Linked DNA regions of Saccharomyces cerevisiae S288C. The protein of the gene in region 2 interacts with the protein of the main gene of each other region in a biochemical or structural test. Each region holds a gene or a part of one and is shown on either strand. Other genes may lie near its edges.

Region 1 (17,185 bases), on a different chromosome or scaffold from region 2:
TGTAGCTAAAATATGTCATTTTCCTTCGGCTTTACTTCCAATGACTTTGATGATGATGAGCTTGTTGCTCAACCTGAAACATTCGTTGAAAGCAGCAAAGAAAACGAAAATACCACTGCTTACATCAATCCATTAGATTCGGATTTCTTGTCGCAAGCTGGAGTTGTGCAGCCAAATGTGGAAGACCTAGGAACAATATTGGAAAGTCTTAAGGATGTTAGATTGACATTTGAAGAGTTCCAATCTCCGATATATAGAAAACCATTGATCAAGAGGGAACTATTCGATGTCAAACATCAGCTAATGTTAGAGACAGATGCCCAATCCAACAACAACTCCACGGAACTGGACATTTTACTAGGTGATACTTCTGAAGATTTGAGAAAGAACATCTATGAAGGTGGGTTGAAATCATGGGAGTGCTCTTATGATTTAGTTGATTTGTTGTCAGAGAACGTTGATAGAATAAGCAACGATATCGACGCGGTTGTCGAAATAGGCTGTGGTACGGCACTACCCTCAGAGTTTCTTTTCAGATCTGCTCTTCTACGGAATGATAGAAGTAAAGGTTTAAAGTTTGTTTTGACTGACTATAATGCCAGTGTATTAAGATTAGTTACCATACCGAATTTGGTTATAACATGGGCTAAAACGGTTTTGACAAAGGAACAATGGTACGCCTTACAGAAAGACGAATGTGAAGATATTCCAATAAATAATGAGGAACTGCTTCTTACCTCAAAGCTGTTAGCTGCCTTTTACGACGATGTACAAAGCAGGAATATCAGCGTCACTCTTATATCAGGATCGTGGGGACGTAAATTTAGTAATTTGATCCATGAAGTACTCTCAGGTAGCCAAAAAGTCCTTTCATTATCCTCAGAAACAATTTATCAACCTGACAATTTGCCCGTTATAGCGGAAACAATACTTGACATACACAATTTACCACAAACCGATGTCAAAACTTACGTAGCCGCAAAGGATATTTATTTTGGAGTCGGTGGTAGCATCACTGAATTTGAAGCTTATTTGGACGACAAAATAAACTCCGAACATCTACCAATTCATTCTGAAAGGTTTAAAGTTAACTCTGGCTTAAAAAGGTCGATTATATGCATTGAAACAAATAAAGCTATCCGATAGTTAGTATAATTTGTTTCAACTTCATTTCCTTAAGTTAATCCATAAGTCTTTTACTGTATCTTTTATTTATAACATGGATGAAAATAGAAAAGAAATATAGAAGTAAAAATTAAAGTAACTGTTCAATATACATAATATAATTGGAAAGCAAAAATGCAACCAACAAAAATATACAGTTTCTTTTTATCATTGATTCCCTTTTAGCCTTATTTGCTAATTCTGGCTTTCATGATTTGTAAGAATTCTCTGTAACTTTCGTTATTCAAAATCTTATCCTCCACTAAGGTGCTAGAAGCCCATAGTCTTAGCGTTGCAACTTCCCTAGCAGATGCATGGTTAACGGGCTCGCTCAAAGAGGCACCCCTAACAATATACAATGATTGGTAAGTGATGACATCATCATGGTTTCTCAATTGGTTGATAATGTTTCTTACTCTTTGATTGAATTCAGAATTTTCAACAACAGGTATTTCCTGTTTGCCAATTGGAATGTCAAAGATATCCTGTGTTCCAAACACATCGAATACTAGCGCTGGTACAGCGTCACCACCCATCCACAAAAACAATTCGTTACCATTATCTATCAAGTATAGACCGTATCTTTCAAACAACGAAGAGGTAGCATTGATTGGTTGAGGCAAAACAATTGTGCCAGTAGCTTCACCATCTTCAGTTTGCACTGGTAACCCAGCCTCATCAGCCATATCATGCAGCGAATAAACATCAGGGTAGATGTTTTTGATTAGATATTTCAAAGGTAATGATTCTAAGTTGTTCAAGGCCGAGGCGCGATGGTCACTTGGGACAATACCAGATCTAAATGCCATATGCTTAGTTAAAGAATGCATTAACAATGGGAACATTCTCAAATTGGCACATAACCTCAATGGGGCCCCCCCTGCAGTGTTGGACACCACTATTTCCTTCTTGTACGTGGCTAAGATATCTTGCACGGATTTGTTGATCAATACTCTTGCATCGTCCAAACTGGAATTCAATGCTTTCTCCACCGCCTTCGAGTTGTAAAACGACGCTATAGCTAATTGGTCAGCAGATGCGTAGACTTCTGCCAACGATTCCGTGGTTGGCATAGCCAATGTTATAATTCTTATTCTACGTTGACTATTATTCAGAGATAAAAGTACCGCTACTTGAACATAACAATAGTCAGCCATAATGGATTCATCAACGTTAACTTCGAATAAGTATGATTGATCTCTTGGCATGGTGGAAAATGCACATAAATCAGATGATCTATTGAAGAAGTGACCATAGAATCTACTCATTCTCAAACCTGTGGAACCACGGGCTCTCATTACGGTTTCCATACAGAAATCCATGGAAATGTGCTTGGCAAACTCAGTGGAAAATTTGACAATATCATTTGGGTTCTTGCCTGAAAAACCAGGATAGAAATGCGTTTGACCAGCAGTGAAACGACTCAAATTCGATAGTGATGCAACGTCCATATAATCTTCAGAAGCCAAAAATAAATCGACAGTAATCTGTACTTTAGAACAATCGATGGTGAAATTCTTATAAAATGAGTCTTGACAGGAAAGTAGTTGTGCAGTTTCCTTGGATGTATTAACAACACCACTTTCATTTCTCCTTTGTAATTTTCCTATGCCTAAGTTGGGCAAAGTACCTGACACAACAATTATTTTACCACCAACGCCACCAATTAAATGATAAGCGGATTTCAAAGCGGGGCCCAGTGCGAAATTTGTGATTAAATTAGATTGGAAGATTTGAGGAATCTTGGTCAATAAAGTTTCAATGTTTTGTCTGCAGGCCTTTAAGGACACAACCATAGAGTTTGGTCTGGGCAAGAAAGGCTCTTCCAGGTCGGCAATATCCATCATGTTGATTTGATCGGCGGACTCTTCATTGTTTTCAGAATCCAATGGGATTTTAAAGTAGTGAATGGCGTTGTCTACACATAAGATGGAAATTCTGGTTCTTTCATCATGGTTTGGAATGGAATCAAGATTTTGCAAAAGGGTGTTGATGGTAGTGGCCAGTAACCCACTCTTGATAGAGGACTGGGAGACATCGATCAGGAAACAGTAAGTGGCTGGAGGTGGTTGTCTTAGAGTATATTCCTTTGGGGCCATATATTCCATCACAGCACATTTGATTTCATTTCTGTCGTATCTACTCTTTGGGTCGTTTGGATCGCTCTGGTCCATTTGCATAGGAACGTCATTGGCCAGACGACAAAAGTTACATCTCCATCTTCTGCCTTGCTCGATAAAAGTGACAAAAGGGTTCATGTAAGAACGACAACGACGACAACGGACAATAAGTCCATCTTCATTCAATGGAGGCGGGTCGATATCGTCGTACAAGTGTTGGTATGGTCTGATAACAAGCCCAAATGGAAGTTTAGACTTCTTCAGCAGGGAGCTGTTCTTAGGAACGGCGTTCAAGGTCGACCTGATATAATCTGGAGACGCATTGGACAATTCAGAAGGAACTAACATCCTTTCTGGAGGAATAACCAACGGTGGGGGAGGCAAGGTCAGATCGGTAATTGGAGGAGGCAATTCCGTCAACAGATCGATTGGATACAACTGGTTCATGGGCCTCATGTTTTGGCCCATTGCGGCGCTAGGTTGGCCATACGCAGGCGCTGCCATTGGTTGTTGCTGTTGCTGCAAAGGTGTGCCCATTTGCACGGGAACCTGTGGCTGCATATAAGCGTTAGGATCGACTAGCGGTACGTTGTGCAGATGCATATCGTTCATGGAAGTGGTGGCCTGATCAATTTGCTGGTGTAACTGTTCTTGAGCAGGGGTTAGGAATTGTTGCTGCCCCATGGAAGGGACTGCACCCTGTGGCGGCATTCCCATCTGACCATAGCTCATTCCAGCTGCAGCAGGATCCTGCGGAGGCATGAATTGTGCTGGCTGTTGTAGAGGGGTGGCATTTTGTCCATACTGGAGCTGAGCTTGTGGGTAAACACGTTTCTTGTGATGAGACATTTTGCAGATGGTCTCAGACTTATATATTTATGTCTGTTTCAATGCGGCAAAAATGGACCTGAGTGCCAGATAAAACCTTTTTGTAGTGCTATTTTTGGCCTGTTTCCTGATGTACCATCCTCCTTACATAGTTTTGTTTTTCTTCGTTTTCGTTCTTCCAGTTTTCATTTTCTTCTGCCGTAAATGGAAAAAACAAGAAAAAAAAAAAGAGAACAGCTAAGCGTTAACAAATCTGCTCCAGTGGCCATGTCCAAGACTGTTTTTCAAGCCCAGATAGTGCCTGAATAGACTGCATTAAGCTGAAAAACTTATAGCAGTGGTTAGTGCAAAATGCACACTTGTCAGTGCTATGTATATTTGTGACACGATTCTATCACCCAAACATAGCACTAATTACTTTTTTGTTACCCGGCATTCTAGGCGGAAATTTGCTGAAATTTTCCATCAATTAATTACGTAACCTATTCTTTTAAGAGCATGATGTTGTATATAAATATAGATCACCTTAGGAACAGTCAGGCTTTCTTAGGTTTCAGAAGTTCATGTGTCTTGGCGCAGTCAATTCTCTCGATCTTTTTTTGGTTTGGACGTTTAAGAGTAGCGGTCGCCGGAAAATAGAGAGAAAAAGGAAATTTAAAAGGAGTTCTTCTTTCTTCTTATTATTAGATCGTATACAGTAAAAAAAAAAAAAGGAAGTAGTAGTTCGAAGAGAAAGAAATAAATGGTAGGCTCGAAGGATATTGATCTATTCAACCTGAGAGAGAACGAGCAAATCGTTTCTCCTTGTCTTATCGTGCACGGAAAATGCAATAAGCAAAATGGTGCGAAGACCGTTCAAGTGCAGCATCCACAATTGCCTCCAATTACTTACCCCATACATAATCAGTTCTTCAAGGCCACTGTGATATTGACTCCTGGTGAGAACAAGTTGACCTTTGTTACAGACACTAACACCGCTAGGACAATCGTATGTTACTACACACCACTGACGCAGAACCCTCCCGTACACCTGTGTCTGATCTTGGCCAAGGATTCGCCTTTACAGTTTGACTCTCCTCGAGAACAGAAGGACAGAGAGGGCGGGAATGGCCTCGAATTGGCAATCAAGAAGCTAAGACTTGGGGCCAGACTCATGCAAGCGTACACGAACGAGCAAATGCTGAGAAACAGTATGGGAAATAGGACGTTTCCCTTTGTTGAAGAATTTACCTGGGACACGCTGTTCGAACGGCCTGCTATGAGAAACACCATCAAAATACATGTAGTTCGTTCGGAAAAGACGGTGAAGGAAATCCAGGACCCTGACATAGCTCAACAGAATTCCAAAGGGAAAAACACCGGCGCCCTTTTTGGGATAGCCATGGACGCCCTTAAAAGTTACGGCGGACCCTTCACCAATAACGAAAAGCCTGTTCAGGCAGCTTGTATGTTTCTAGACACCCACTGGGATGGTAAGTTGATTAGAGGCCACGCCGCATTGGGTGGGGGTGACGACAGCATTAAGCTCGCCATTTTTGGGTCGCACGGGCTTTACTCATGGCCTACTTGTCTCGAGCAATTGGTGCCTTATTTTACTGATGAGACAAGATCCTCCACCAGTGAAGTCGCCAACGACTGTAATGAGTGTGGTACTTACTGGGAATGTTTGACTATCACGTTGGGAGCATTTATGCATGAGATTGGTCACTTACTGGGTTGTCCTCATCAGGAAAGCGGTGTTATGCTAAGAGGCTATACCACTTTGAATAGGTCTTTCTTGACTAAAGAGGCTTATTCTGTAAGAACTAATTCAACTGGTGCTAGTCCTCCCATCTTCCCCAAGGAAGAATGTACCTGGAACCGTCTCGATACGGTAAGATTTTTGTACCACCCCTCTTTCACTTTACCACAGGATTATTACGATCCATCGTTCATGAGACCTACAAAATTGGGCGGATACCCCAATATAAAACACTCTGTATATCCTTTGGGTAACGGCAGTTGCCGCATATTATCGCCCACAGGAATCTATTTGATTGAAATTATATGTGATGATTTGGCCAGGGGCCATATTGAATACTTGCCGGTTTCCCTAGGTGGACAGGGGCCTCAACGGGAAGTTATAGTAACATTAGATGATTTACGTGCCAGGTTGCCCAAGAATGAACTCGCCAAGTTTGGCAATACCTTCAAATTGAAAATTCTTTCTGTTAATGCACCGGAAACCGAGTTCGACAAGTTCCCATCTTTGTTAGATGTTCAGCCATTAGACATGTCGAAATATGGGTTTTCTAAAAATGTTCAAGGTATCAAATCACCACTTTATGGTCGCAGCGACGGTGGTAATGCTGTCGGCGTCGTCGCTTTTGATGTTAGATTAGTCACTGCTGTGAGAATATACCATGGCTATGCATTAGATGGTGTGAGGTTTTATTACAAGGAAAAACCAACTGGAACAAAGGATGCTCCCGCATCCAAGCCCTCTGTACCACCAAGAAATTATTTCTCAAAAATTACACATAGTATCAAAAATCATGCTTCAATAAACGAAGAAAATCTAAAAAGTGTACTCTTTGGACATGAAACACAAAATTTTACGGATGCTACACTAGAACCGGGTGAAATAATCATTGGGTTTAATCTGAGGTGCGGAGCTTGGGTTGATGCTATCCAAATTATAACGAGTCATGGGAGAATGACCGACATGTTTGGTAACAAAGACGGAGGTGGGTTCGCTGAATTGCAGCCACCTAATGGCCAATATATCCTAGGTGTGACTGGCAGAGTCGGTCAATGGGTCGACGCCTTCGGAATTATTTACGGAGCTTTATAGTAATTAGTCAAGGTTTTTTTTTTCTTATTTTTTTCTATTTCATAACTTAGTCATATCAAAATATATCTATTAAATTATTTTCCATATATACGTAGATATTCTTCATTTGCATAATTCTTTGGGAAAAAGGAAAACAGTTATAGAAAAATATAAACAAAAAACCGCAACACTTCATGATTGCGTCGAACAATATACCTTAAAGAAGAAAAAAAAAGGTTGGTTTTATCACTTCATTAGTCTATTTGAATAATTCATAAAATATTTCTGATTTTTTTTTTTTTTTTTTTTTTTCATATTATTTTAAACGTGACTTTGGCTGCGATTCATGGTTTTTGCCCTTATATCTTCGTTGTCATTATTATCAGCATTATTAGGATAATCCTTTCCATGTAATAGAAAACTTTTATTTTTCAACATGGATAACTTTTCGTCCACTTTATCTATTTCAAAAATTTGCCTTGGTGTAGCCGCTGACTTCTTTACATTAGGTACATTAGAAGCCGCTTTATTGTTGTTAGCCAAAAGAGGATTCACGTTGTTTTGATTTGGAACAACCCTGGGACGATGTATCGAAATTGAGGTACCTCCACCATCTAAGATGTTATTAGAAGTATTAGTGGCCATAAGTGGTGCAGATAATGGTATTCTCGAATCACCATTTTCATTCTTGATGTTAAAGTTGCTCCCAATGAGAGTGGTATTATTGCTGCCAGTTTGAGCACTAACGCTATTCTTGGGTTGTTCTGATAATTCACTCTGGGATGAAGATGCAGAAGTAGGATTAGATCTTTTTCTTGACAAAAAGTCACTTGCAAAGCTGCTTCTTGCACTTGGCGGAGCTGTTGGTATAACAGAATATCTTCTTTCATTATAAACAAGGCCAACCTCCTTTACTCTGGTGGTATTCAAGTCCGTTTGTGGGACCTTAGAAAATGAATCCGATGCTTCATCATACTCCCATAATGACCAAGTGATTCCATATGGTTTTGGTTCTAGGCAATATACACAATGTAATGGGACATCCAAATTGGCAATAATACCCATACTCAAGTTCATAAAATAACCCAATAAGGCTCTTGCCACCACCCGGTGTGTAATAATAAGAACGTTATCCTCGATTCTTTCTAGTTCTGTGATAACAGGTCTGAGTCTATTAATAACGTCCATATACGATTCACCGCCAATACCAGGGTATCTGTATCTCAACTTATCTTTCTGTCTTTTTTCGAATTCTTCAGGAAAGTTGTTTTTAATTTCTGGATATGTCATACCATCATAATCACCTGCACTTAACTCATCTAACATTTTCATTTGTTTGATAGGATAATCATCTTCGTTGAAATATTGAGCAGTCCCTATAGTCCTAGCACGCATGCTGGTCCAAACGAAAAAGTCATTATAAATGTTCCCATCTGTATTTTCATTATTCTTTTTTTGTTGCATGAGATTTTGATAAAATATTTCTCTCTGTCTGGCAATGAATTTTGGTAGACTTTTAGCAAATCTTAGACCACGAGGAGTCAAATGGGAATTTCCGCCTATACGGCCACTAACATTATCTTCGCTCTCGCCACTTCTCGTTATCCAAATTTGTCTGTCAGCCAAATTGAAATTTAACAAATAATATACCGTCTGCGAAGCTAAAAACCCTTGAATATTGTATGCGATGACTTTCTTTCCCACATCTATCATTTTGATGTACTGCAAATTTTCGTCATCCTCAATTGGTTCATAGGCTTTCAAGTAGTTTGCCAGGCGACTTTTAAAATCTTTTAAAGAGCTTTCAGGATCTTTACCTTTGTAATCTGGACCAAATAATTTGAGTCTAATATTTTTCTGTACCAGTGCATGATCCGAACAAACAGATTCTAAAAATAAAACCTTCAAATGAGGACTTCTCTTTCTGATTCTAGCCAGAACGTTTTTTCTTCTTTCACGAGAGGTATTTGTAGCATCAAAAATTCCCACAGATCCTGAACCTTCTAATAAATAATCTAGCAATTCATCCAGAGTATCCATGGCCCATTTGTCTCTCAACCTAGTAGAGTCGGCGTTTTTCGGCTCGAAAAACTTTGAATCCTGGTCCTTTAGGCCATGCTCCTTAGCAAACTTCCTTCTAGTGTTACCGACATTAAACACTTTACAATAGTATAAAGAATAATTTAAAAATCTGGATAATTTATTTGTAATAAATGACTTTCCCGTAGCTGGCAGTCCGACCATGACAATCACTAACTTTGATCCACTATCTTCCTTTGATATGAGACCATCTGGAGATGTTTTAGACTTTGTTAAACCAGGAACATCGATGGTGGTAGGTCTTCTTTTATGGTGTCTCGTAGGTGATTTAATGTCTTTCAAATCAATCCGAGTTACCTCATTTGCTCCATCTGAAGGAGGCATGTAGTCAGTAGTATCGTTTGTGGGAATTTTAGCATTTTTTAGTTGCGTTTCGTCGTTAATATGCAATCGATGTAGCGATTTCAAATTAGTAGCGCTATTTTCAGGAGAGTCAGAAGGTGTATTTTCTTCAGTGATTCCAGGAGAGTTCCAATTGCTCGATATAGGAGTATCGCTCAAAGGTCTTTTCTGAAAAAGTGGTAAGTGCTTAGATAATTCATCATGCGGACCCTTTTCAGCATCAATTTTATCATCGGAACTCCGGGATAAAAGATCATAACTGGAGTCTTGACTAGGTGCCACATGGTGTGGAGATTGTGTAGGAGCAAGATCAATATCAGGCGGCACAGGAGATGTTTCAGAGAAGTCTACTGGTTTGAACATGAGCTTTTATTCCTCTTGCCTTTGTTCCCTTGAATAAACCCTTCTTCTACGCCTCTTGTTATTATTTTTACTCTTTTAGCTTATGGCACAAAAGTACACAAATAGATACTAAAAGGCGAAATTTATTTCACTTGATTTACCCGTAACTGAATACTTGAGTTTGTCTATATATATATATGTATACCTTTTATTGTTAAAAAAAGAATATGCCAACAAAATCTATAATAAATAGTCCATGTACTCCACTATAAATTAATTTGCTATTGTCAGTAATGGCGCGATTAAAAATAAATAGGAAAAGAAATCTCTCCTCAAAAAATCTTATGTCCCCTAATTTCCGTATGTTGTGATTTTGGTATTCAGAGATGATCACGTGATATAAACGTGATTATTATTATCGGTCGGGTATCCCACTCGTATAATATGACAAATACGTTCGATCAAAAGAAGGGTAATACTACTTCCCAAAATGGAAATATCAAAACGTTAGAAGAATTACAATTATAGCTTTGGTAACATTACTGATCTAAAAGAGCCTTAGCTCAGCCCGTTTGAGCTGTATAGATATTTTTTTAGTTTATTCGAGAGAAAACCGGTTTTTTTGTTAGTATCTTCAACAAAATTTTCCTAATTCAATAAGGACTTCAATTTCCATGTCTTTTCTACAAAATTTGTATGTTGCTATTTTCTTTTCTACTTCAAGTATTATTGTTCATCTTTTATTAACAAACTGGGTATGAGTTACCTTTTGAAAGCAGTCATATAAGTCCCGGCCAAACAATAAGATCTACTAGAGGTTTCAAGTGGAATACTGCCAATGCAGCTAATAATGCAGGCTCTGTATCGCCTACTAAGGCAACTCCCCATAACAATACTATTAACGGCAATAATAATAATGCCAATACTATTAACAATAGAGCAGATTTTACAAACAATCCAGTAAACGGATATAATGAAAGCGACCATGGAAGGATGTCTCCCGTCCTCACTACGCCAAAGAGGCACGCCCCTCCGCCTGAACAATTACAAAATGTAACGGACTTTAACTATACACCATCGCATCAGAAGCCGTTTCTACAACCGCAAGCAGGTACGACAGTTACAACACATCAAGACATCAAGCAAATTGTGGAGATGACACTGGGGTCTGAGGGAGTCCTTAACCAAGCTGTGAAGTTACCGCGTGGTGAGGATGAGAATGAATGGCTAGCGGTTCATTGCGTGGATTTTTACAATCAGATTAATATGTTATACGGGTCCATCACAGAATTTTGCTCCCCACAAACATGCCCGAGGATGATAGCGACGAACGAATATGAATATCTTTGGGCATTTCAAAAGGGTCAGCCCCCCGTTTCGGTAAGTGCCCCTAAGTATGTGGAATGTTTGATGAGGTGGTGTCAAGACCAATTTGATGACGAATCTCTTTTTCCTTCCAAAGTCACCGGTACCTTCCCGGAGGGATTCATCCAACGAGTAATTCAACCAATTCTAAGGCGATTATTCAGAGTTTATGCGCATATTTACTGTCATCATTTTAATGAAATTCTTGAACTAAATTTACAAACCGTACTAAACACAAGTTTTAGACATTTTTGTCTTTTTGCACAAGAGTTCGAACTACTAAGACCGGCTGATTTTGGTCCGCTGTTAGAATTAGTGATGGAGTTGAGGGATAGGTAGTATTGTATATTTATATAAGTCTGCTTGTAGGTTGTATTCTTCCATGCATGGGACACAAAAACAAAAATACGGAAACATATTAATATAACATATGGATGGAAGGAAATAAAAACATTCTAGTTTACTATACTTGTATTTATGATTTGAAATCGTTTATTGGAGTTTGAATATAAATATTGGGAACTTGATCTTGTAATTCAGAATCATTAGTATCAGGTAATGAAGACATGGATGTATTCGTATTTGTTTGATTGTCCAATTTTGGTGTTACCGTGGACCCCACATAATTACTATTTATATCATCGTTTTCATCATTTTCTACCATTGTGCTATTGGCATTACTCAGCTGATACTTATTAATGCTGGTATGGTTATTGGTTAGCTTGGGTTTCCCATCTGAATTCAAGTTTAATTTTTGTGTTATGAATTTATACTTGTCTTGTATATTCGAAGTAGATGTTAAGATCTTCAAATTATCAAACCAAGACATCATTGATTCATAAGAATCGGCTTTAAAAACCCAATTGTGACCACGACGAATTATGCCGTTTTGCTTAGCATGCAACACAAACTTAGCATCCGAACCAGTCGAATTTGGTGATGATGTACTGTTTTTCCGGGAATGTTCCGTCACAGTACATTCACTTAATGCTAACGACATCACTGGTACTAAATCTTTTTTTCTGTCCGCGGTCTTGAATTCATGTAAAAAGTTCGGTGTCAGCACATAATACCCTTTTGAATAGGATTTTAGAAATTTTGATCTTCTTTCTAAAAACCCTGATTTGATTTCATAAGTCAAAGGATCGAATTGGTATTTGTAAACGATTTCTTTGAATGTCCTCATCGGTAGATTAGGCAATAAAAAGTTGGGATCCCTTGAAATGAAGTTATCCCATTCAAATTGTGGGTCAACGTTGAAAAATCCAGAATCTAATTTGGATATCAATATATCGAAAACCAATTGTGCTTCTTGTCCCAGTAATCTGGCATATATTGTTAAAGAGTTTTGAATTTCCATAACTACAATTTTTTCTAATTCAGCGCCTGAAGTCTCTAAATTATCAAAAGCTTCATGCAGAAAGTTTTCCTCCTGAAGTTGCTTTTTAATTTGTCTATCAAGCGCCAGCTTGGTTAAGAATGGATCTTGTTTTGGCACTGAATAGCGCGCATCCTTTAAAGACTCCTGAAATTGCTTCATGGCCTGTTTTGTTTGTTGTAACTCTTTGGAACAAGAATTTTTGAAATCCGACTGCAGTGATTTTATTTCCTTTATCTTGACTATTAGATCTCTCCTCAAGTCTTCCAAACGAGGAATAACATCATTGGTCAATTCCCTTGATGCCTTAGACGCGCTGGATGCTAGGGATTCATGATACTGGTTCAAAATTGTTGGTAAGTCCTGTATCGAGCCATTACCCAATGGCAAAAAAAACTTTTGTACTGATTTATCCTCCTGCGAGCTTGGTTGGTATTGATTCTCGATCGAAAAGAATGGGAATTGTACAGCATGTGATAATCTTAGTTGCTGTCTAACAATTTCATCCTGAATAGAAGCGATTTCTGTTAAGTAAACGATCACCGACTTGATGACATTTCTCCAAGCTGAAAACCTCGCTGCAAGAATATCTGTTGGTTGCGCAGCTGTAGGGACCAGTATTACTAATGGAGATCTAGGATCTTGTTGTTGTTGCTGTTGCTGAGCAAGTCTTTGACGTTGTAAGGAAGACCTAGCCCTCGACAGTATTGAAGTGTTGGTTAAAGAGTTTTTCCCTTGGAGCTGTTTCCCGTTGTTATTATTGGGATCTGGGACAGCAATGGTTACATTGGTGTTCGAGTCGATATTAGGAGAACCATTGCTTATGATACCTTGCAACCCTCCAGAATTCATCGTCAGCGTCCTATTGTTTTGAAACGTTGAATTACTAGTGGAAGGAACTGGTTGTCCATTCAAATAGCTTTGTTGGTTTATATCGGATGTCAAACTGCCATTTTGAAAGCTTGCGCTCTGCTGCTGTTGCTGCTGCTGCTGCTGTTGTTGTTGTTGTTGTTGTTGCTGTTGTTGTAAAACGTTGGCATGATCTGCTGAAGTCATACTTCTCGTATGCTGCTGCAAGTTATGCAGGTGCTGAAGATTTAGCTGTTGCTGTGACAGCATATCAGAGACCGCAGAGGTCATTGTGTTGTTTTTCGACATTTTTTTTTCTTTTAATGTTGTATTCTTTTATTGTTAACTACTTTTTTTCTTTAAAAAGCTTCAAAAGAAGATGACCAAATGCAGATATAAGAACACTCTAATAGGTTGTACCAATTCAAGGGCTCAACAGATGTCCTCGTTGTTTTTCCCCCCCCCAGCTTGGATCGCTGTCACTCTTCAAGGCTTGAAAGCCTTCTCCCTTCTTCGATGGAATACGTAATGCCATGAGGGGAAAAGCCGCGGGAAGAGAAGGGTAACCCAATTTTAGGCCCCTGCAGGAACGTTAATCAATATATACTCTATCTAATGCAGTAATCTACGCTAAACATTCAAATGATCTTCATTGTGGGTTCTGCTGCTGCTCTCGGTATTCAGACTCTGCCAAAATTTCCATCTCTCTTATATTTAGTGTCTCCCACTCAGGTTCGCCAGTTTGTTCGTTGAACGATGCAATACATTCAAATTCAATATCCTGCTTGGAAAGTGACTCTTGCTCTTTTCTCATTTCCAAGGCCAGACTTCTTATGACGTTCTCACTACCCTGAGAAATGAACCACGCAGTCAGATCATCCAAGAGAACTTTGTCGTAGACGTAGTAAACATCATGGAAACGAAATGTTTCATGAATGTCCAAAAGCGCCCTTATGACTAGTCTCTTACCACCTCGTAGAATATAATATACGAATGTCCACGCTTTCATTGCTAGGTCATAGTTTCTATGTAGTGGATAACTCAGGGCTCTCCTGATACCTGTAATGATTGCAATCTTGATGAGAGAGCTGTCTTTATTAACCTTTGATATTTCTTTCATACCGTCTTGCAGTTCGTTCACCTGTTTTAATTGTTGGTCTAAGAATGATATTTGAGGGCACAATTTTCCCATGGTCCAAGCACTCTCTGTGGTATGAGTACCTTCGTTTTCGATCTGTTCAAACACATAACTGAAAAGAACGCTGAGTATAGTGACATAAAGTGGTTTTATATCTTCCACGAGATAAGACTTCTTGGGTAAATTGTCCTGCATCTGTTTTTGTTCCTCGTCAGTAAACTCAATTGGCATGACCAGATTTGGGTTCGTACTGTCTTTGTACCATTGCAGGTATTGCTTTACGATCGAAGGTGTAAACTTCAGTAGTTCTTTAATGCCGTTAATTTCCAAGTCTTCCTCGTTACCGTATTTATGTGTCATATACTCGGAAACATAGTACTCAGGATCAAACTTCAAATTTTCTTTTCTTAACCTTTCAATAACTCTATCGTTCGCGTCAGTGTGTTCAGGATCGTCTAATTCATTGATATCGTTCCCGTTGCTTGTCGACACTGATATAACTGTATCATATAAGTTATCAAACCCATATTTTGTCTTCAATATTCCATTATTGGTGCTGGAATCCATCTTTTGCTCTATCTCCCAATTAAACCCCTCTCCCATTTGACCAATAGTCTTCACATCATCTTTAATATTATTCGACACGCCATCAGTTTCGACCTCTTGAATAAGGGGCTTTTGGGTTTTTTTCGCATCAGTATTTTCTGTTAATGCATCGGCACCTGCAAGATCGCCTTGCCTAGCCAACAACTTTGTCGGTAGGTCCAAATCTTCGAAATATTCATTTTTATTCAGTTTGGCTACTTTTACATTGATGCATTCATCTTTGGAATCGTATTGAGCGGTAGACCTCTCATCATCGATTAATTCGTGAGGAAATCTTAATCTTAAATAGTAAGGGGATAAGTGAAAAATGATCATATTTTCTTGGATGATTATCTCTAAACCCACTGCACTGAACCTAATATTACTTATGAATATTTTGAGAAATATAAATTCCTCATCCTGTGTTATAGAGAATCTTGGTGTTATCATTATAGTTCAGAAGTGATGGTAGATTATAGCAAGTATTCTTCTTTTGTGAATCTTAATATTACTCTGAGCACTTGACACTGAATATTTAGTATTCAAAATTTTTCAGCTGATTTTTGCGATGCGATGGTGATGAAAAAAAAAACATGTAGTAGTAATAACAATCAAATAAAATAAGTGAAATCTCATGAACTATCTGCTGCGAATTTTAAGGATAATCGGATAGCTTGAAGCATTTCTTTTTCGTAATGAGTGGCTCTACAGAATCTAAAAAACAACCAAGAAGAAGATTTATTGGGAGAAAATCTGGCAACAGTAATAATGACAAATTAACTACAGTGGCTGAAAATGGCAACGAAATAATCCACAAGCAAAAGAGTAGAATCGCCCTAGGTAGGAGTGTTAATCATGTGCCAGAAGATATATTGAATGACAAAGAGTTGAATGAAGCCATCAAATTATTGCCCTCTAACTACAACTTTGAAATCCACAAAACTGTGTGGAATATCAGGAAATATAATGCTAAAAGAATAGCCCTACAGATGCCTGAAGGTTTGCTGATTTACTCATTGATTATAAGTGACATTTTGGAACAGTTCTGTGGTGTTGAAACTCTAGTAATGGGGGATGTGTCTTATGGTGCATGCTGTATTGATGATTTTACTGCTAGGGCATTGGATTGCGATTTTATTGTGCATTACGCTCATTCGTGTTTAGTTCCTATTGACGTTACAAAGATTAAAGTACTATATGTCTTTGTTACTATAAATATTCAAGAAGATCATATTATCAAAACGCTGCAGAAGAATTTTCCTAAGGGATCTAGAATCGCTACATTTGGTACCATTCAGTTTAATCCTGCGGTACACAGCGTCAGAGATAAACTGCTTAACGATGAAGAACACATGCTGTATATTATTCCACCACAAATCAAGCCTCTATCGAGGGGTGAAGTATTGGGGTGTACTTCTGAAAGATTAGATAAAGAACAATACGATGCCATGGTATTCATCGGTGATGGTAGATTTCATTTGGAGTCTGCAATGATACATAATCCGGAAATTCCTGCATTCAAGTATGACCCATACAACAGAAAGTTCACTAGAGAAGGATACGATCAAAAGCAACTCGTGGAAGTTAGAGCAGAGGCCATTGAAGTCGCTCGGAAGGGTAAAGTTTTTGGTCTGATCTTAGGTGCATTAGGTAGACAAGGTAATTTAAACACTGTAAAAAACTTGGAAAAAAACCTGATCGCAGCAGGTAAAACCGTGGTGAAAATTATTCTAAGTGAAGTTTTTCCCCAAAAGCTCGCAATGTTCGATCAAATTGATGTTTTTGTTCAGGTCGCATGTCCTAGACTGTCCATCGATTGGGGTTATGCCTTCAATAAACCACTATTAACACCATATGAGGCTAGTGTCTTACTAAAGAAAGATGTCATGTTCAGCGAAAAATATTATCCAATGGATTATTACGAAGCTAAAGGATACGGGCGTGGGGAAACTCCGAAACATGCGATTGAATAGTTTAAATAGTTTTTGTTGTCACTTGTCTTCCTGTTACATATGTATAAATAGTTAGTATCATATTCTTCGGAGCATCTTTTCTATTGTTTAAACGTTTTTGACGGCTTGCAGGCGAAACTAAATTGTCTAAAATTCAAAACAATGCCTTCTAACTTGATATCACTGCTGGTCAAGCCTATTTTTATTCTG
Region 2 (15,868 bases):
TAACTTCTCCAAGAACAGGAATACCGTATGTGGAGTAGACCTATATTACCCCCATTCTACTACTTTGAATATTGCGAACAGCCTTGTAGTATTTTACGAAAAATACCTAAGAAACCGGTTCATTTACTCTCTATCCAAGAAGAAGGTTTATGATCTAATCAAAACGGAGTTACAGAATACTGATTCCTTGTGTATAGCACCTGTTAACCAGGCGTTTTGCGCACTTGTCACTCTTATTGAAGAAGGGGTAGACTCGGAAGCGTTCCAGCGTCTCCAATATAGGTTCAAGGATGCATTGTTCCATGGTCCACAGGGTATGACCATTATGGGAACAAATGGTGTGCAAACCTGGGATTGTGCGTTTGCCATTCAATACTTTTTCGTCGCAGGCCTCGCAGAAAGACCTGAATTCTATAACACAATTGTCTCTGCCTATAAATTCTTGTGTCATGCTCAATTTGACACCGAGTGCGTTCCAGGTAGTTATAGGGATAAGAGAAAGGGGGCTTGGGGCTTCTCAACAAAAACACAGGGCTATACAGTGGCAGATTGCACTGCAGAAGCAATTAAAGCCATCATCATGGTGAAAAACTCTCCCGTCTTTAGTGAAGTACACCATATGATTAGCAGTGAACGTTTATTTGAAGGCATTGATGTGTTATTGAACCTACAAAACATCGGATCTTTTGAATATGGTTCCTTTGCAACCTATGAAAAAATCAAGGCCCCACTAGCAATGGAAACCTTGAATCCTGCTGAAGTTTTTGGTAACATAATGGTAGAATACCCATACGTGGAATGTACTGATTCATCCGTTCTGGGGTTGACATATTTTCACAAGTACTTCGACTATAGGAAAGAGGAAATACGTACACGCATCAGAATCGCCATCGAATTCATAAAAAAATCTCAATTACCAGATGGAAGTTGGTATGGAAGCTGGGGTATTTGTTTTACATATGCCGGTATGTTTGCATTGGAGGCATTACACACCGTGGGGGAGACCTATGAGAATTCCTCAACGGTAAGAAAAGGTTGCGACTTCTTGGTCAGTAAACAGATGAAGGATGGCGGTTGGGGGGAATCAATGAAGTCCAGTGAATTACATAGTTATGTGGATAGTGAAAAATCGCTAGTCGTTCAAACCGCATGGGCGCTAATTGCACTTCTTTTCGCTGAATATCCTAATAAAGAAGTCATCGACCGCGGTATTGACCTTTTAAAAAATAGACAAGAAGAATCCGGGGAATGGAAATTTGAAAGTGTAGAAGGTGTTTTCAACCACTCTTGTGCAATTGAATACCCAAGTTATCGATTCTTATTCCCTATTAAGGCATTAGGTATGTACAGCAGGGCATATGAAACACATACGCTTTAAGTTTTATTTATAAGTGTTGTTAGAGGCTGCAACAATTAGAAACTAGTGCAAAACTAGTATATTTATTTGTATATGTAGTAGTAAAATAATAGGTGAAAAATTAACATGTGTTTGAAATTCCAGCTAACTATTGGTTATGGTGATTACACGCTAAGTGTAGAGTTCTTTCAAATATACCATTTATCCTTTAGCACGGCTTCACTATTTTTTTCGTCTTTTTTCAACTAAGCGGAAGGAGAAAAAAATTTCAAGTTATGCTCATCACTCTTTTATTACATTATGGTAGCTATAAAGTGGCTTATGTTAGTGAGTTGACGGAAAAGAGAAATACTTTCAATAGACCAATACATAACAAATCCTTTTGAACAAGATGCATTTGATGTACACTTTGGGCCCAGACGGCAAGAGAATCTATACATTGAAAAAGGTCACCGAAAGTGGTGAAATCACGAAGTCTGCTCACCCAGCTAGATTTTCTCCAGACGACAAATATTCAAGACAAAGAGTAACTTTGAAGAAGAGATTTGGTTTGGTACCAGGCCAATAGATTTGGGTAGTTTAAGGGAATATTGTATAGTACGTGATTCTGGCTAGTATGAAAATGCAGTGAATTTTCTTGTTTCATTTTCAATTTTCTAGACCTACATAAATTTGATAAGTTTTTAGGTGATAAATACTAATTATAATTGATCGATTATATGTTTTAATCTCGAAGGAGCAGTGGCCGTTTTCTTATCCAGAACCAGTTCTTTTAAGACTCGCCAGTTTCTTTTTAGCTGTAATAAGGAAAAATAGATTGATATTAGTTACAGTTGTGCTTCACGTTGTTAAAACGTACAAGAAAAGTCTTTAACTGTAGCAACCAAAAAAGGTACTTGATGTCGATATTAAGCCGCATCTCTAGATCTAAAGGCTCCACTCTACTGCTCCACTTTACTGCTCCAAAGAGTCGGCTTACAGATAGGCTACCGCTACATTAATAACTGTGCTGGAAAACCTTGTTTCCGGGAGCACAAAATTGTAATGACATATTTATTTTGGTTGTATCAAGCGTTTCCAACTGTTGATTCAACCAAAAAGCCTCATAGCTTTTAATACGGATATTGCTTAGGGTAGGGCGAAAAAAATAACCAAATCTTTGGAAAAAGCAGTTTGACACCATACAACCAGCAACGACATGGTTTTTTAGTGAACCTGTTGGGGGGAGAGTATAACTCGTGAAAGTTTCGACGTCCTATTTGCTGGAGAGTAGTAAAACGAGCTTGAATAGCAGCCTGCGAATCGAATTATGGAAACAATTGATATACAAAATCGATCATTTGTTGTTCGTTGGGTAAAATGTGGCCGTGGCGATGTAATCAATTATCAGATCAAGCCATTGAAGAAATCTATTGAAGTCGGCATATACAAAAAGTTGAAATCCAGTGTAGATGACCATGCTTCCGCAGTTCACATTGCACCTGACACTAAAACATTGCTAGACTATACTACGAAATCTCTATTACATAAGGGAAGTTCGAGTAATATTGAGGAGCATCACAGGCGTTCCTCACAGCACTCTCATAGTTCGAGCAATGGATCGGATAATAAGAGGAAAGAGAGATCATATTCTTCACTGTCCATTAGCGGCATACAGCAGCAATCCCAGGAAATACCCCTACGTGAAAAACTCTCTGCGTCAGGATTCACTTTGGTCAAGAGGGTCGGCAACGTTTCCGGTAACACTATGGTCCAAGGTGATCTTGAAGTGAAAGATACAGACTACTATTATGCATTTATACTGGACAACTCGTCTTCCAAGAATGCAAAAAAGAAAATTCTTTTTAACGCAAGTGTGATAAACGGCGATAATCAATCGATGATAAGCACAAGATCCACCCCTCCCGCAAGGCCTACAGCTTTAAGCAGAACATCTACTCAACAGGATATGTTATTTAGAGTAGGACAAGGTCGTTACTTGCAAGGCTACCTGCTGAAAAAAAGGAGAAAGAGACTACAAGGTTTTAAGAAAAGGTTTTTCACCTTGGACTTTCGATATGGAACCCTATCGTACTATTTAAACGACCATAATCAAACTTGTAGGGGTGAAATTGTCATAAGCTTGTCATCTGTTAGTGCCAATAAGAAGGACAAAATAATCATAATTGATTCTGGTATGGAAGTTTGGGTCTTGAAGGCTACAACTAAGGAAAATTGGCAGTCGTGGGTCGATGCGTTACAAACTTGTTTTGACGATCAGTTCGAAGATAAGGACACGTCCACTTTGGAAGAAAATCCCGACATTCTTGACGATGACAAGGAAGTAATTAATAAAAGCTCACCTCAAGACCACGACCACCTCACGCCCACGGCTACGACCAAAAGTGCACTATCACATAGACAGCATACTCAGAAAGACATGGATGACATATATGTCCCATTGCCCAGCGAATCTTACGCTACTTTCTCCATGAATCTACGTTTGATTCAACAACGACTGGAGCAGTGTAAAAAAGACTCGTTATCTTATAAACCAACTACTTTACATCAAAGATCGGAGGGGCTAAATGGAACACATTCGTCATCTTCCGTCTTTACCAATAATAGAGTGTCTTCATTCAATCATTCTTCTTCTGGTATGACGTCATCTGATTCTTTAGCCTCTGAAGAGGTTCCTTCCAACAAAACATATATTGAGCATGCTTTATATAACCAATTGGCAGATCTTGAAGTATTTGTTAGCCGGTTCGTTACACAGGGAGAGGTTTTATTCAAGGACCACCAGATCCTGTGCAAGAAAGCAAAAGACACGAGAGTTTCTTTAACTTCATATCTTAGCGAGAATGATGAATTTTTTGATGCAGAAGAGGAAATCAGTCGGGGAGTCATTATATTACCTGACACAGAAGATGATATTAATAATATAGTCGAGGAAACTCCCCTTCTTGGTAAAAGTGACCAAAATGAGTTCACAAAAGAGGTCCAATTGTCGGGATCCGAACAGATAGCTTCATCAAGTGTGGAGAGCTATACAACTAACGATGAAAATCATAGCCGTAAACACCTCAAAAATCGTCACAAAAATCGTCGCCGTGGCCACCCTCATCATCAAAAAACCAAAAGCGCCCAATCCTCAACAGAAACATTTACAAGTAAGGATTTGTTTGCTCTTTCCTATCCAAAGAGTGTTACACGCCGTAATGACATACCTGAAGCTGCAGCTTCTCCGCCAAGCCTATTATCTTTTTTGAGAAAGAATGTAGGCAAAGATCTGAGCTCTATTGCCATGCCAGTAACCTCAAATGAGCCTATTTCTATTTTGCAGTTGATATCAGAAACATTTGAGTATGCTCCACTTTTAACGAAGGCTACCCAACGTCCTGATCCTATAACCTTTGTTTCTGCATTTGCTATTTCCTTTCTTTCCATATATAGGGATAAAACAAGAACGCTAAGAAAGCCTTTTAATCCTTTACTGGCTGAAACATTTGAACTTATACGAGAAGATATGGGGTTTAGGCTTATATCGGAAAAGGTCTCACATCGTCCTCCAGTATTTGCCTTCTTTGCAGAGCATCTCGACTGGGAGTGTAGTTACACTGTAACGCCATCGCAAAAGTTTTGGGGTAAGTCTATTGAATTGAATAACGAAGGTATACTGAGATTGAAGTTTAAGACAACTGGAGAACTATTTGAATGGACGCAACCAACAACTATTTTAAAAAATTTGATAGCGGGTGAGAGATATATGGAGCCTGTCAACGAATTCGAAGTACATTCTTCGAAGGGAGACAAATCACACATCCTGTTCGATAAGGCAGGTATGTTTAGTGGAAGATCTGAAGGATTTAAGGTTTCGATAATCCCACCACCTTCGAGCAATCGCAAGAAGGAAACTCTAGCTGGTAAATGGACACAGAGTTTAGCTAATGAAACTACACATGAAACTATATGGGAAGTAGGTGATTTAGTTAGCAATCCGAAGAAGAAATATGGCTTTACTAAATTCACCGCAAATTTGAATGAGATAACTGAAATTGAAAAGGGCAATTTACCACCTACGGACTCAAGATTAAGACCAGATATTAGAGCTTACGAGGAGGGAAATGTTGATAAGGCGGAAGAGTGGAAGCTGAAATTGGAACAACTTCAACGTGAAAGACGTAATAAAGGGCAAGATGTGGAGCCTAAATATTTCGAAAAAGTATCTAAGAATGAATGGAAATACATAACTGGACCGAAGAGTTATTGGGAAAGAAGAAAGAAGCATGATTGGTCTGATATTTCTCAACTCTGGTGAATGCCTTGATGACATCAAGTGAACTTTTTTCCCCCCTTTGTACTCTATTTATTTTCCATCTTTAATGATCATCCACACAAATTACTTGTATATGCGTTCATGTATAGTATACTATATACAACATGAAGGACTTTATAAATTCTTGATCAATCTTTCACACTAATTTTATATTAACAGTTCTACACTATTTTTGTTTGCTTGACTGTAAAAACATTCTATTTTATGATTAGTTGCAAAACTTGAAAAAAACAATAGAATTTCATCACATAATTGAAAGATAATGAACTCTTTCAGTCAGTTAGATCCATGTTTTTTGAAGAAAAGTTTACGAACACAGGATCTTACAAAAGGTGCCTAAATTTGGAATTGAAAGTCTATTGCTATCAAAACTTGTCAAAGATAACATAGCTTGGAACATCTTATCCTTTATATGTCCTGCTAAGTCATATCAAGAGGCCCCAATAGTTTCGTCGAAAAAGATAAAGAGGAATATGGAAGGGAAATATAAGATTATCAACTGGTTACCTCAAAATAGACTATATGCTCACATCATCAATTGATATTGCTTGTAAAAATACCCCCAAATACCCTGGCATTCTTTTTTTGACTCCCTGCCAGTAATGTCACATCTTATCACTTTAGCTACATGCAACTTGAATCAATGGGCCCTAGATTTTGAAGGTAATAGAGACCGTATCCTACAGTCCATTAAGATTGCCAAAGAGAGGGGTGCCAGGTTACGTGTCGGCCCAGAACTGGAAATAACTGGCTACGGATGTTTAGATCATTTTTTAGAAAATGACGTTTGCCTTCATTCATGGGAAATGTATGCTCAAATCATTAAGAATAAAGAAACCCATGGATTAATACTTGACATTGGTATGCCCGTTCTACACAAGAATGTTCGTTATAATTGTCGTTTGTTATCCTTGGATGGTGAGATATTGTTCATAAGACCTAAGATTTGGTTAGCTAATGATGGTAACTATAGGGAAATGAGATTTTTCACACCTTGGATGAAACCTGGCGTGGTGGAGGACTTTATCCTTCCACCTGAGATTCAGAAAGTTACCGGCCAGAGACTTGTGCCATTTGGGGACGCTGTGATAAATTCATTGGATACATGCATTGGTACAGAAACTTGTGAAGAATTGTTTACACCTCAATCCCCCCACATCGCCATGTCTTTAGATGGTGTGGAAATCATGACAAACTCATCTGGTTCTCATCATGAACTGCGTAAGTTAAATAAAAGGTTAGACCTAATTTTAAATGCCACTAAACGTTGTGGTGGTGTTTACTTGTATGCAAATCAAAGAGGTTGTGATGGTGACAGATTATATTATGATGGCTGTGCACTAATTGCCATCAATGGTACAATTGTAGCCCAAGGTTCACAATTTTCGCTAGATGATGTGGAAGTAGTTACTGCTACTGTGGACCTAGAAGAGGTGAGGAGTTATCGTGCAGCTGTCATGTCTCGTGGCCTACAAGCCTCCTTGGCAGAAATAAAGTTCAAGCGTATTGATATTCCTGTAGAATTGGCTTTAATGACCTCCAGATTTGATCCTACAGTGTGTCCAACAAAAGTCCGCGAGCCTTTCTATCACTCTCCTGAGGAAGAAATTGCACTGGGACCTGCTTGCTGGATGTGGGATTATTTAAGACGTTGTAACGGAACAGGGTTTTTCCTTCCCTTATCTGGGGGCATTGACTCTTGTGCAACTGCAATGATTGTCCACTCTATGTGCCGTTTAGTGACCGACGCTGCTCAAAATGGAAATGAGCAAGTTATCAAAGACGTTCGTAAGATAACACGTAGCGGCGATGATTGGATTCCAGACAGTCCACAGGATCTAGCCTCAAAAATATTTCACTCCTGTTTCATGGGTACGGAAAATTCATCCAAGGAGACAAGAAACAGAGCAAAGGACCTTTCCAATGCAATTGGATCTTACCACGTGGATTTAAAGATGGACTCATTGGTATCCAGTGTGGTGTCCTTATTCGAAGTAGCCACTGGCAAAAAACCAATATACAAAATATTTGGGGGATCTCAAATCGAGAACTTGGCTTTACAAAACATCCAGGCGCGTCTAAGAATGGTTCTTTCTTATCTTTTTGCGCAACTGTTGCCGTGGGTTCGTGGTATCCCAAACTCGGGTGGATTGTTAGTACTTGGTAGCGCAAATGTTGATGAGTGCTTACGTGGGTATCTAACAAAATATGACTGCTCCTCCGCAGATATCAACCCTATTGGGGGTATTTCAAAAACTGACTTGAAAAGATTCATTGCCTACGCATCAAAACAATATAACATGCCAATCTTGAATGACTTTTTAAACGCTACACCAACTGCAGAATTAGAACCTATGACTAAAGATTACGTTCAATCGGATGAGATAGATATGGGGATGACGTATGAAGAATTGGGCGTGTTTGGTTACCTAAGAAAGGTTGAAAAATGTGGTCCTTATTCTATGTTCTTAAAACTTCTTCATCAATGGTCCCCAAAGTTAACACCTCGTCAAATATCTGAAAAGGTGAAAAGATTTTTCTTCTTCTATGCCATCAACAGACACAAGCAAACTGTTTTAACTCCTAGTTATCATGCTGAACAGTATTCACCAGAAGACAACAGATTTGACTTACGTCCTTTCTTAATCAACCCAAGATTTCCATGGGCTTCAAGAAAAATTGATGAAGTTGTCGAGCAGTGTGAAGCACATAAAGGCTCAACGCTTGACATTATGTCTATTGATTAGCACAGAAGAAGTGCTCACAGCAAAATAAGACTTTTCCACGAGTTCATATATTCTGTTATTTATTCTATCATAAATAAAGATATAAAAGTGATATTTAACCCTTATGTATTTTGCACGGTTTTGTGTTGACCCCAATTAGTCTTGATTACTACATTCCTAGAATCGTTCCGCTTCCAGAAATCAATTAAAGTGATTGCTGTTTTTATAGGCGAATCTTCTTGAATGAAATGCCCGGAATCTTGGAAAACTACCAACTGATATTTACCTTGCATTTGCCCCACAATTAATTCTTTATCGAGATTTTCGTTTCCCGCCAATATTAATAATTTACTAACAGGTAAGCCAACAAAGGAGTGCGACAGATCGGTAAACCATGTGTCCCAGAAAGGGCTAAAGGTCTTAAGGTTTGTTATCCTGACAACTTTCCCTGACTTGAGCGGAGCAAATAAAGCTGGTATAGCAATTTCGGCGCTTGACCTCAATCTCGATAACGCGTGTTGAACGTGCCAATCGACAGCGTCATTAATTGATTCAAATACATTGGGTGTATTCTGCAAAAAATGTTCAACTTTATTTAAGGCCATAATGGCAGCCTCTTCTACAATATCTAACATAGTAATACCAAGAATTTTCTTTTGTAGTTCTGTTGATAATTTAGGGTACGCAAAAGTACATATACTTCCACCAAGGGAATGACCAATTAGTATAACAGATACCTTCTGAAGTGGCTCTTGGCTTATTTTAGACTTAAACCAATAATTTAGCAGGCTTACAAAATCTTTGATAAAAGAGTCCCTGTCAAAGCATATAGGCGCATCAGCCTTCTTAAACTTTGTTTCTGCATGCCCCCTAGCATCAAATGCAAAGCATCCGCATCTTCCTTCTAGTTTAGTATTTAATTCCTTGGCCAAGTTTGCAAATGATAAACCTGAGGAGCCCGCCCCATGGTGGAAAATAAAGATGGGAATTGAAGTGGTATTTGATAACAATGAAGTAGGTAATGTATAGTATGTATTTACGTCCAGATCTCTATCAGGAAGACTTACCAACTCCTTATTATCAAAAAAATCACTCCAAGTGGGTAAACTACTCTTTTCCTTACTTGAAATTCTATCAGTAGTACTACCGGTTTTGCCCGTATATTTTCTGTTCCTATTTGATTGTCCATTAAATGATGGCAGGGAACCTAATGCATCACCATCGTTTTCATCATCCTCGTATGCTTCTTGGAATGTCGCATCTAGAACATTCTTGGCTCTCTCAAACTGGGATAAAGCAATTTTTCTTCTCAAATCGTCAGACATTGAAAATTTGAAAATGTCCTACCGTTACTACCAGTTTGTTGCCGTATTTTTGACTCTTTGTTGAGCATTAGTTGATCATTACCGCTGCAGTCAGTTAATGATATCCCTAAATAGGCATATTGTACAATTTCAAATATATTACCCGAATTACAAGAACAATAGGGTCTTCTACAATATTACTATGAACAATTCATAGGGGAACATAGTCCACTTCAATGTCGGTGCCAACGATTCTATTTGTTGTAAGTATATATGCTGTTTCCCGGCAATACTTTATATTGGGGGAATTTTCTGGAGGTTTAAGGGCATATTACTACGTCAAGGCTGGGATTGACCTTCTGGTATATATTACGTTGCGCAGGACATTCCTTATACTTGAGCCTTTGTAAAAACTTCTTCGTTCTCCTGACCAACCGTTCAATTATGTTGTGAATTTTTTGATCCGAGTTTGAAACATCCAAATTCACAAACAAACCGTTGTCATCCTGAGTTGGCGTCGGCCATTGAGCTTCCTCTATGTGTTTTAAATCTTTCATTTTAAGAAATCTAAGTAAGGAAATTGTTTCTCCACATGTGTACCGTATAAAGTTCTTGTTATGAATTAGAAGGATTATCACAAAAGCCCTCCATCAAATCTGATAATTTCATTACCCAAAGACTGTAATACCTTGGGTGTAAAGATCGTATTTTTTGATGTCTTCGTGATATTTTGCAGATCTTTCCATTTTATAAATTTCTGCAAATATCGTGCATCAGCTCATCTTGGAATTGGCACAATCTGCGTAATTTTTTTCTTGGTTCTCTTCTCCTTTTGATTTTAAGAGCGCTTTCTATTCAGTAGCAGATTTTCAGTAAATAAAGCCATCTTTCTCAAGTAAACTCATGATCATGCAGTTGTTCAAAATTACACCAATAACGATGTTATCTTTAAAACTTTCCCCAGAAAGAAGATGGCACTTTTGCACTAAATACTTCAAACTATTTAACTTTGAAGCAGGACATATTGCCGGTTATTTGACCATGCTGGCGCCGTTGACATTCATGTAAGCAGTATTAGCTTTTAAACTGCCATTAACGCACCTATACGATTGCGGCGGTGCGAAAACAGTAACTAGCACTCTTACGGCTCATTGTTTCCTCTATCCAAAGTTGCCTATATCACAATAAAATTAGAAATTAATCATTTTAATAAGCTTGCTGCCATTCAGTGACTCGCAATCTACGTTTTAAACGTAATTTAAAAATCCACTTCCACCTACATATTTTGCAACAGTCGTACGACAGAAACTGAGGCTCTATAAAATGAGATGTGCTAATTGTTCTTTCTTGGCTGGTTTCAGCTACATCTTTCTGTAATCAATCTACAAATTTACACGCGAGCTTCATTTTGACAGTAAACAAATGTAAAAGACACATGCAATAAAAGCGGTCCAGAAAACAAACGACAAAGCCACCAAAAATGTTTGCAAACGTTGGATTTAGAACTTTGAGGGTCTCGAGAGGTCCCCTTTATGGTATGTTTATTGTTTTATTCATTGGTGTGCTAATTGCTAAATTTGCGGGACAAATGCTAATCGACTCAGAGACTAACTTTTCTCATATCATAGGATCCTGCAGTCAAATCATCAGCTTTTCCAAGAGGACTTTTTACTCAAGTGCCAAGAGTGGGTATCAATCGAACAACAGTCATGGTGATGCGTATAGTTCAGGTAGCCAATCAGGCCCGTTCACCTATAAAACCGCGGTAGCTTTCCAACCAAAAGACAGAGACGATCTGATATACCAAAAACTAAAGGATTCTATTAGATCACCTACAGGAGAAGACAACTATTTTGTTACATCAAACAACGTTCACGATATTTTTGCCGGTGTCGCAGACGGTGTTGGAGGATGGGCTGAGCATGGGTATGACTCCAGCGCCATCTCAAGAGAATTGTGTAAAAAAATGGACGAAATAAGCACTGCTTTAGCAGAAAATTCATCCAAAGAAACGCTTTTAACGCCAAAGAAAATTATTGGTGCTGCATACGCAAAAATTAGGGATGAGAAAGTAGTGAAGGTTGGTGGGACAACAGCCATTGTGGCTCACTTCCCATCTAATGGAAAATTGGAAGTTGCCAACTTGGGTGATTCTTGGTGTGGAGTCTTCAGAGATTCTAAACTTGTATTCCAGACAAAGTTTCAAACTGTTGGATTTAATGCTCCTTACCAATTGTCAATCATTCCAGAAGAAATGTTGAAAGAGGCCGAAAGAAGGGGTAGCAAGTATATTTTAAACACCCCCAGAGACGCTGATGAATATAGCTTCCAATTGAAAAAAAAGGATATTATTATATTGGCTACCGATGGTGTAACCGATAATATTGCCACAGATGATATTGAGCTTTTTCTGAAGGATAACGCTGCGAGAACAAACGATGAGTTACAGCTATTATCCCAGAAGTTTGTGGACAATGTTGTCAGTTTAAGCAAGGACCCCAATTACCCCAGTGTTTTTGCGCAAGAGATTTCTAAGCTAACTGGCAAAAACTACAGCGGTGGTAAAGAAGACGATATAACTGTTGTTGTCGTGAGAGTTGACTAACACTCCGCTCTTTAATCTCCTGGAAAGCAGTGTAAATAAAAATACAGCGTCATAAACGGTACTATATAAACACGTAGCCATTTAATAGAGCCAAACATAAGTGGGCATATATAGTAAAAATTTAAAGAACTATATTCGCAAAAGAATCTCAGTCGAAAGAACGTTTTAAAACAATCTTTTTAATCTTGTTTCGCTCGGTTTTTAGTTTCTCTTCTTCTTCAAGGACATCAGAGACAAATTTCACATCCGTTGGTAATTGTAAAATTCTTGATTGTGTCTTCTTACCGCTTTTAGTCAAGAACGTAAATGCAATCTTCTTTGGCTTGGATAACTCTTCGTAGGTCTCCTTGCTTGAAGAAGGTTCTTCACTCTTTTTTAATAATAAAGGTTTTTGAACGCTGACTGGCTTCGAAATTACTGGAATTTTACTGGCAACAACCTTTTCGCTTTTCCTTGCGTCTATGGATTCTTGCATCATTTTCTGAAATTGCCTTTCCAATTCTTCTTCCGCTTTCCTTTCTTCCTCATCCTTTAGTTTTCTCTCGTACTCTTCATACATTCGTTTCATTTCAATATCTCTGTCTGCGTCAAGATCACCACCATACTCCAAATCAGAGTCGCTGTCTTCTTCTTCTTCATCATCATCATCCTCATCATCATCATCTTCATCATCATCCTCATCGCCTTCTTCTCCATCATCATCATCATCGTCATCGTCATCGTCATCATCCTCGTCATCGTCCTCATCGTCTTCATCTTCACTTTCGTCTTGCTTTGCCTGATGTTTTCCTGGCGCTGACTCTGTGTTCGGTGTACTTATCTCCGCGTCTTCATCTTCTCCTAGTAAATCGACACCATCGTCGTTTTCATCATCTTCATCCTCATCATCTTCGGTGATTGACTCGATAGGAACAGCACTCTCCTTACCGTTGTGAATGCTTGCAGAAGATCCCTTCACTCTGTCGTCTTTACTTTTTATTGCGTTTAATGATTTCAGTAAACTTTCCAACCTTGAGGCACTTTCTACCAAATTTTCTGACCTTTCAAATTTAGTGTTTCCGAAAATATTCTCATATTTTTTAAATGTGCTTGAAACTCTGAATTCTGTTTCCTTGGGTAAAGGTTGTTCTTTAATAAAAGTATAATACTCGAAAAACCTCAGCAAAAGTTTGCATTTCTTAGTAAAAGCTGCAGGGGTCCTGTTGATATTTAACAGAATTGTAGTGACTAGTTGAATCCTGAAATAATTATCCGGTGGATCTGAGTAGTTTAAATAAAATGGATTGGGTTGATTGTTGATATGACCAAACCGAATAATGTGGTAGATAGTATCTAACAAAACATCGGATTTTATCATTTCAAAGTTGAATATTTCAGTTAAGTATCTGACATTTGATATTCTATGCATGTTTTGTCCATAATCGTTAATTTCTAAGCCTCGCTCAATGTTTTCCAGTACTTGGTCTATACATCTGATGACGAAATCGCGGCGGTAACTGTATAGACCGCCTAGAACTTTTGTTAATAAGGGAATATTTTGATAGCTAATCTTATGTGGTTTTGAAAACAGAGAAAACAGCACTTTCTGAATAGCTACATCGTCCCAGTGAGCTTTCCGAACCAACTTGACAATGTGTTTGAAGTCTAGGCTACTTAGTTCACTTCTAATTAATATGCGATAAAACTGTTGTTCAGGCGTTATTGTTTTTACCGTAACATTTAATGATTTTACAGAAGGGGGATAAAGTAAAGTAATTATGTTTTCTAAGGCGCTTTTCATGTTCATGTTCAATTGCCTATCATTTTTTTTATCCTTGATTAGTTGGACCATTTTTTCCATTAATTCCTTATATTCTGGCTTATTTAGCAGAAATTTCCCTGAGTGCTCCAACAAAACCGTCAAAATTTCTACGTTATTTGGAACTTGCATATACATGATTAATGTTCTAATCTTATGAAAAATCATAAACGATGGTATTAATTGAAATTTAATCATTTCACTGAAGAAGATGATGTTTTTAACGTTAATCTTATTAGAATGTAATTGACTCCTGAAGCCATTGTCTAGGTAGTTAATAAACTCAGAAACAATTTCCGGCATATATTTGCTATTTGTTGCAATAAATCTGGAATACACTGGCAGTTTGCTCCAATCTTGTGTTTCCATGAAAAATTTCAATATTCGATTTCTTGTGGCTTTGTTGTCCAAATATGATGACCAATATCTATTTGAAAGGTCATCGATTATATCTTTACAATCTGCCATTTCCAAATCCGTAAAGAATAGATTGATATTTTTTGAGTTAACGTTTGAATCTTTTTCTGTTTTAGAAGATTGTGATTCTTCTACTGTTTTTGAGATATCTGGTAAGATTTCATAAAATTTCCTTGTATCTTCATTTTCCCATAATCGTTGGTTGGGTGGCAATATCTGATTCGTGATCATTGGAGAAGCTGTTTCTTTCAGATCATCATTAGAGGCACCTTCAAGCTCCGGAATTTCTAACTTAAAAAATTCTCCCAAAGTAATTGCAGATGTCTTGAACCTAATGAATATTGGAAGTAACTTGTCGTACTCCTCTACGTACTCATCTCTCAATTTTCCCGTTCTTATTTGGCATTTCTGATGTTCTCTTTGCAGTTTATTGACCTTCTTATGCAGTTCTGTGGCCCTCGCAAAAGTGGCGTCTATAAAATTCTTAAACAGAGACTGTAACGCACCTTTTAACTTCGAGTCATATATTAAATCATCCCAAGAATTATCATCGTCGCGAAACAAAGGTGCAAATTTCTTAATAAATGCGGTCGCAATAGTGGTAGTAAAGCCCAATTTGAACTTATAATTAAGAATCTCTCTGAGAATACTGAATAACAACGGATCCTTTCGCCCAGTTTTCTTCTGTAGGAAGTTTGGAATAGCATCTTTCGACTCAATATCATCCAATGTTCTAAAAACTCCAACTAAATAAAGCTCGGTAAATACCCGAAGATTACCTTTAACTCTGGTTATCCTTTGAAGCTCATCTCTTTCGGATTCAATGTCAACAGAGGGGTTCTCAAAAGCTTGTAAAAAAGCTCCTAAAAGCGGACTAGTAAATCGGCCATTGAACCTTTGATGAAGTCCACTTATGATCTCAACAGCGGCAATTACGTCATCATTTTTATTCAAAACATTTAGCAGACATTCTGTTACCGTCACTATTATCTCTGATAGGTACTTTTCCAAGGACGCCTCACTTAAATCTTTCAATAATGAAGATTCTGAACCTTTCACAAAACCCTTCTTTAGTTTTTTTATAAAGCCAGTGTTTCTCTTTATACTGGAATCCAGTTTTTTACTTTTCAGGGGAAAGACTTCTTCGCCATTCCAAGCTCGGGTGTTCAAATCATGCAATTCTTTTTTCCGTCCATCCTGTTGATACATAATTGTTACCGTAGTTTACAACGATCAATAAAAGAAGTTAGTATAAAACCTTAGAAGTACTGAAAGGCCGATCTGGCCACAGTAAGATAAATCAAACATACGTCCATAATTTCTGTCCAATGTATTATCAATGC

What was found.
Region 1: the proteins of NOP10 (region 2) and SHQ1 are reported together in a solved structure, tested with the Saccharomyces cerevisiae proteins (one study listed by BioGRID).

The regions. Positions count from the first base shown.
Region 1 is NC_001141.2:156,033-173,217, forward strand, and holds SHQ1 (Hsp90 cochaperone SHQ1), read right to left. Parts: upstream 15,474-17,185; coding exon 13,950-15,473; downstream 1-13,949. Other genes in the region: HPM1 (protein-histidine N-methyltransferase), read left to right, coding at 13-1,146; COPII subunit SEC24, read right to left, coding at 1,353-4,133; YIL108W (putative metalloendopeptidase), read left to right, coding at 4,855-6,945; PFK26 (6-phosphofructo-2-kinase), read right to left, coding at 7,246-9,729; MOB1 (Mob1p), read left to right, coding at 10,383-10,402, 10,488-11,412; SLM1 (phosphatidylinositol 4,5-bisphosphate-binding protein), read right to left, coding at 11,549-13,609; YIL105W-A (uncharacterized protein), read left to right, coding at 11,632-11,772; DPH1 (2-(3-amino-3-carboxypropyl)histidine synthase), read left to right, coding at 15,719-16,996.
Region 2 is NC_001140.6:239,916-255,783, forward strand, and holds NOP10 (snoRNP complex protein NOP10), read left to right. Parts: upstream 1-1,748; coding exon 1,749-1,925; downstream 1,926-15,868. Other genes in the region: lanosterol synthase ERG7, read left to right, coding at 1-1,378; oxysterol-binding protein related protein OSH3, read left to right, coding at 2,667-5,657; QNS1 (glutamine-dependent NAD(+) synthetase), read left to right, coding at 6,278-8,422; PPE1 (phosphoprotein phosphatase methylesterase 1), read right to left, coding at 8,524-9,726; type 2C protein phosphatase PTC7, read left to right, coding at 11,186-11,240, 11,334-12,310; NMD2 (Nmd2p), read right to left, coding at 12,459-15,722, 15,836-15,841.